Saccharomyces cerevisiae S288C: one gene and its partner. The gene in region 1 interacts genetically with each later gene. Each region holds a gene or a part of one and is shown in the gene's direction. Other genes may lie near its edges. The genes, in order: PIS1 and TAM41.

Region 1 (3,236 bases):
GACGTTGTGTCCCTGAATTGCACTATAGCTATTGTACCAGCTGGTGGCATGAGCAATCTTTCCAATTTACCATATGGCAAAAACATTTCGCCAAGCTCTTCTCTAGTTGTCCCAAAAGGAAAATTTTTAACCAGTATCACTTTATCGTCTCTTTGATTTGTAGATTTTAACTGTGAAAACTTGGTCAGATCAACACCTTTGGATTCAAAGTATTTTCTAACATCACCAATAACATGGGCTTCAGCCAAAGCTTGTTTGACAGCCGAACTTGAGTTTTCAGCATCGATCAATTGAGATTTTTCTAGACCCAATTTGGCTGCCACACTACCCAAAACAGCATCTTGGTTCATATACAAGGAGTTCCAAGAAAATGTTTGTCTGGATGCAGCTGCCTTCCTTTTCAATTCCTTTTGCTTTTTCAATGGCATATTCTTTAAATCAAACTCATCTAATCTATGGCTTTTTTTTTCTTCACCAGGAAGAATATGCAATAGTCTTCCTTGAAAAATCTGTTTATCCAATTCAACATAGGCGTTCACTGCATTCTTAGAATCCTTAAATAGAACGTATGCAAATCCTTTGGATTGACCAGTCCTGGTATCCAAAGCCACATGAACCTCCTCTAACTCTCCAAATGGACTAAATAGTTTCCTGAAATCTTCTTCTTTGGAGGTATACAAGATATTACGTAAGAATAAACGGCCAGTTTGGTTAATTTTTTCAATAGCCAGTTCTTCGTCCGTCTTTTGCGGCACAGCACGTTCTGGTTGTTCTTCCTTCTTGGTATCGAGACTTTCATTTTGTTCAGTAGCGTATGATGATGATTTTTCCCTTGTTTCCGCTTCACTTTCTTTGATTCTTACACGGCGTTGTTTGAACCAATCTAGGTCAGAAACCTTTTCATCTTGGGCGAGGTTTCTCCTCTTTTCATTCTCTTTTTCATCACTATTAGCGTCATCATTAACTAAACCTATATCAGTATCCTTCAAATTGCTAATACTTATCATCTTTTCTTCCTCTCCGGCATCTTCTTGATCTTCATCCCTGTTTCTGTTGAGAGCCGAATATTCATCGTCACTTTCATTCTCAATGACCAAATTTGGTGCTTCGTCTTTATTATTCTCTTCCTTTAAGGCTAATGCATGAGCCAATAGAGAATTCCCTTGCACGCTGGAGTCCTCTTCTTCCCGTTTTAGTTTTTCGTCCTCTATGCTCTTGTCAATGCCAACTTTTTCCCATGATGTGACTTGTGAGCTTGGCTTCATAGTCTCCATGAACTCTTGTAATTGCTTGTTCTTGCGAATCTCGTCATCAATGTTGCTGTGCTTATTTTCATCCACTTTCTTTTTCTTTCGATTTTCTTCTTGTAGCAATTTTTCTTCCTTTTCCCTAAACCTTTTCAGAGCTTCTCTTCTCTTCTCCTTCATGGGCTGCGGGACTCTTGGGTCTGCAAAGCTTTTAGCCATGGACACTTCTATCTTAGAAGTGTTGATAAAACTGCCATTGAAATACTCTACAGCATCAAAAGCGTCTTCCTCGTTACGGTATCCGATAAATCCAAATCTTCTACTTTCTCCGTTCCTATCTCTAAGAATTTTAACATCTGTTATGAGGTCTGGACCACTACCATTAACTGCTTGATGGGAATGTTTTTGACGTAATCTTTTTGTAAAATGCTCCCTGAGATTATCATCTGTTAGATAGACGGGCAAACCCTTGACAATGATACGGGACATGTTAGTTATGTTATCTTGTGCTTGAGGCTCAAATTAAATCTCAGTTCAGGTTGCAGTCTTTGCATATGAAGTACCGATGAGATGAGATGAGATGAGCTCTAAATTTCCATAAAATTTTTTCATTTTATAAAATTCACGTCGCTCCGCACGTAAATCCCTATTACGGAAATTATTTCTCAATAGGGAAAGCCCCTCCTATTGTTTTTTCCGTCTCGAGGATTTTTCACTTTTAGTATATAAGTAAAACATAAAAAACATGAGAGGTGGTATGGTTTATTTGCCGTCACTGTGGAGCCTTCAAGTAATGTAAATAAGAGGGAAAGTGTGATAGTACAAGATGAGTTCGAATTCAACACCAGAAAAGGTTACTGCAGAACACGTTCTGTGGTATATTCCCAATAAGATCGGTTATGTTCGTGTTATCACCGCCGCCCTTTCTTTTTTCGTTATGAAGAATCATCCTACGGCCTTTACATGGTTGTATAGTACATCATGTCTACTGGATGCGCTAGACGGAACCATGGCAAGAAAGTACAATCAGGTTTCCAGTCTGGGTGCCGTTCTGGACATGGTTACCGACAGATCCAGTACCGCTGGCTTGATGTGTTTCCTTTGTGTGCAGTATCCCCAATGGTGCGTTTTCTTCCAATTAATGCTGGGCTTGGATATTACTAGTCACTACATGCATATGTATGCCAGTTTAAGTGCTGGTAAGACTTCTCATAAAAGTGTGGGCGAGGGTGAGTCCAGATTGTTACACCTGTACTACACGAGAAGAGACGTACTGTTCACTATCTGTGCGTTTAACGAACTATTTTATGCTGGATTGTACTTGCAGTTGTTCTCAAATTCTGCAACCTTTGGTAAATGGACTACAATCATAAGTTTCCCTGGTTACGTGTTCAAGCAGACCGCAAACGTTGTCCAGCTAAAAAGGGCAGCCTTGATTTTAGCAGACAACGATGCCAAGAATGCCAACGAGAAGAACAAGACTTACTGATAGGATGAGTTTCTTACTTTTTTTCTCCTTTTAATTGCGCTAATCTTTTATTTATGTGTAGTTTTTATTTATGTGAAATGGAACATTCGTTGATTTAACTTTAAAAGCAGCCTACTCTATCGTCTTGATTATACTTGGCACAACAAATGCTCAAATAAACGAAAAATTTCATATTGTTGGTACTTTTTCTCAACGCGGTTTTTTTCCTGTTTTTTTCGAGCAGTTCCCGAGGGCATATTTAACATAAGCCAAGGAGAGAGAAAAAACGTTTGTTGGACAGATCAAAAAGAAAAAGAAGAAGACCTCTCCTCTATCTCAAGCTTCTGCCCCCCCCCCCGGAAGGAATTCAAGCACGAAGGTGAACATTGCCTACAAGAAAAAATGGATGTTTTATTGTCGCTTCCTCAACCGGAATTATTTAAGACCACGGTGATTCCGTTCTTGGCAAATCGCAATATAATCAAGTCGGAAGCGATTCTCTCCAACTTGCACTCAATTTT
Region 2 (3,529 bases), on another chromosome or scaffold:
TTGTTAAATCTTGAATCAGCGTTGTTATGCACCATGGCCACATGTCTCTTATAGGCGTCTTTGCGCCTAAACGTTTTCTGACAGATAGGAAATGGGCAATTCAGTCCTGGATATTTTTCTACTTTTAGATTTAATGATTTCTCCATCTCTATATCAAGCTCTCCTATATGTTGGGAAGCACAATGTCTTCTCAGACCAGTTGCTTGTTGGAAACCCAATATTTTCCAGGGACATTGCTCTATGGGACACTTACACGGTCTTTCAAGGTTGAATTCGTCTAAGTGCGCGGCAAACTCAACTAACGTTGCGAACTTTTCAGAACAATGAGAACAGTGGTAACTTCCTCTTTTTGTTTGCCCTTCGGAAATTGTGCTGAGTACTTTGGGGTCGTGATATAGCTGTGCCACGTGCGATTTTTGGGGATAGCCTAGAATACACTGTGAATGGGATTGTTCTGTTGTATTGCTCTCAATAAATACAGGATTTGCTCCTTTTTGACGTCCATAATTAATAAGATCTCTGAACTCCGGATCAACTAATGACGTGATACAGTGTGTACTGTCCGCTATTTCATCCGGCCGTAATTGAGGTGCTGTACCTTCCTCAGTAGACGACGTAGAGTCATAAGCCTGTCTCTGATTTCCGGCTATAACTGTGATTGTGTTTTCTAATGATAGTAGTAAACAGTCCTCAGTGCTGGAAGGCAGGCTGGAAGGCAGGCTGGAATCCCCCTCTAAGGGTGATGCCGAATATTCTTTCATGTTTTGCCCGAAATCGTGCCAATGATAAATCGGTTGCACCTCTTGTAAAACCTCTCTGTTCCAAGACCCCTTGGCGATGGCACTGTTTTGTCCATAACACGGTGACATAAGTGCTGAAAATCCCAACTTCTAGTAAAGAATTAACAAATTCAACTGTATGACTTATAGGATAAGAACAATGTCAGTTCCAATGCGTTGACACAGTAGAAAATATATTTACTAAGAAGCAGCTTCGTCGTTGGTATAGTTTCGGTTGATCTAGATATAAATATAACTACAAATAAATGGCAGGAAAAATTGAAGCAAATGACACAGGACATATCTATCACATTGCTCCCTTTAATTTCCTCGAAGGCACTCTGGCCTTTGTTCTCTGCATAAGAAAAAGCCAGCAGAAAATACGGTGATATATTTAATACATGCCCGGCCACTTTTCTGCTGGTAAAGCCCACCGGAAAAGTTCGGATTTTCTTATCCAGTATACGCCGACCTTTTGATGTAATCTGTGACATCTCACTCCGGCGGCCATTTTACGTGACGAAGCATCCCTTACAACAGAAAGAAGAAAAAAGATATGCCGCTTTGCGGTTTCTTTCTGGCAATGTATGCACTCATAATGCTACTCGTTTACCCACTATCCCTGTCCAAACTAAAGAGGGAGGAAAGCACTTTTTGCATTTACACATCGTAGATTATAAAATGATCGTTAACAGGCGCTTGTGATTTTGAATTTAAGAAATGTGGACTAGAGAAGTCTTAAATCGCCAATGCTGTACCAGACTCTCTATAGCATCTAAACACGAAATTCAACTGTTATCTTAGTTTTTCACTTACCAGTAGCGCGCTTGTTATTCCCACGTTATTATTTGCCCCCACATCATAGGTCAAGTGACCTTCTCTTACCCGACATGAATAAAGAAAAGAAAAGAAATCATACCCTTCAGCCTGTTTAGCCATAAATAGTAAAGAGTAGATGTTTCGACGGACTAAATAATGTGAAAAAGGTTCTAAAACCTTCAAAACAATTAAACTTGAGAAACGTTGCTATAGGATTGAGCTAATAATTTGAATTAATAGGAGCTGCTTTTTACTTTGATATATCCTGAAGTTATGTTACGAGTTTCTGAAAATGGTCTACGGTTTCTGCTGAAATGCCATTCAACGAACGTAAGCATGTTTAATAGGCTTCTGAGTACTCAAATAAAGGAGGGGAGAAGTTCCATAGATGATGCTGGCATTATCCCCGATGGAACTATTAACGAAAGGCCGAATCACTACATCGAGGGAATTACTAAAGGCAGTGATCTGGACCTCTTGGAAAAAGGTATAAGAAAAACTGACGAAATGACTTCCAATTTTACAAATTATATGTACAAGTTTCACAGATTGCCCCCCAACTATGGAAGTAACCAGCTCATTACTATCGATAAGGAACTTCAAAAGGAACTGGATGGGGTAATGTCATCCTTCAAAGCTCCGTGCCGGTTTGTATTTGGTTACGGCTCAGGAGTTTTCGAACAAGCGGGATATTCCAAAAGTCATAGCAAACCTCAAATCGATATAATCTTGGGCGTCACATATCCATCACATTTTCACTCTATTAATATGAGGCAGAATCCGCAACATTATTCAAGTTTGAAATACTTCGGTTCCGAGTTCGTGTCTAAATTTCAACAGATCGGCGCAGGCGTATATTTTAATCCATTTGCAAATATAAATGGACACGACGTAAAATATGGGGTGGTTTCTATGGAAACACTTTTAAAGGACATAGCTACTTGGAATACATTCTATTTAGCAGGACGACTACAAAAGCCTGTAAAAATATTGAAGAATGATTTGAGAGTGCAATATTGGAACCAATTAAACTTAAAAGCTGCAGCTACTTTGGCCAAACATTACACCTTAGAGAAAAATAACAATAAGTTTGACGAATTCCAATTTTACAAGGAGATCACTGCCTTAAGTTATGCAGGTGATATTAGATACAAACTGGGTGGAGAAAATCCCGACAAAGTTAACAACATTGTTACCAAAAACTTTGAAAGATTTCAAGAGTATTACAAGCCGATTTACAAAGAAGTGGTCCTAAATGATTCATTTTATCTTCCAAAAGGGTTCACATTAAAGAATACTCAGAGACTTTTGCTCAGCCGTATTAGTAAATCAAGTGCATTACAAACTATTAAAGGTGTTTTCACAGCTGGAATCACAAAGTCAATTAAGTATGCTTGGGCCAAAAAACTAAAATCGATGAGGAGAAGCTAGTGTATCCAATGTTATCTACACATTATCTTTTATCAAAAATGTTTTATCGTCCTTTCATCTCTTTCGAAGAATCGCTCTATTCACATTCCAAATCTCTGGCGTCGGTCAATATTTATTCATCTTTATTTTTACCTTCTTCTAGATAATATACATTATCCCATATTGGCATTCAAACTGACTTACTTGCATTATGGAAGGGGGATCATACGTTCCAGTATATGCAATGGATGTCGTACTTACGAACACATTGTAGCATTTGAAGGGGTATTTCTATATATTTCTATTATTAAGGGTTATATTACAATTATACTTTATAGTTTAAAATATTTAAACAAGTTCTCAAATACTTAAATACTTCTCCATGAGGTGGTCGGCCAACTCAACATTTCCGCTTTGCTGATATATTATAATACTGTTATAGGCAGCATGTTTTTTCAACTTTCCATCATCGTAGTTTTCTAGAACTCTATTATAGTACTCAATTGCAATCGATACCAGAC

The links.
Region 2: of PIS1 (region 1) and TAM41, extra expression of one is lethal in a mutant of the other (dosage lethality), as found in Saccharomyces cerevisiae (one study listed by BioGRID).

Annotation. Positions count from the first base shown.
Region 1 is NC_001148.4:750,184-753,419, forward strand, and holds PIS1 (CDP-diacylglycerol--inositol 3-phosphatidyltransferase), read left to right. Parts: upstream 1-2,073; coding exon 2,074-2,736; downstream 2,737-3,236. Other genes in the region: RNA-binding ribosome biosynthesis protein MRD1, read right to left, coding at 1-1,736; ALE2 (Ale2p), read left to right, coding at 3,118-3,236. UniProt on the Saccharomyces cerevisiae protein: Catalyzes the synthesis of phosphatidylinositol (PtdIns).
Region 2 is NC_001139.9:583,024-586,552, forward strand, and holds TAM41 (putative phosphatidate cytidylyltransferase), read left to right. Parts: upstream 1-1,871; coding exon 1,872-3,029; downstream 3,030-3,529. Other genes in the region: RME1 (Rme1p), read right to left, coding at 1-869; YGR045C (uncharacterized protein), read right to left, coding at 911-1,273; transcription factor TFIIIC subunit TFC4, read right to left, coding at 3,369-3,529. UniProt on the Saccharomyces cerevisiae protein: Catalyzes the formation of CDP-diacylglycerol (CDP-DAG) from phosphatidic acid (PA) in the mitochondrial inner membrane.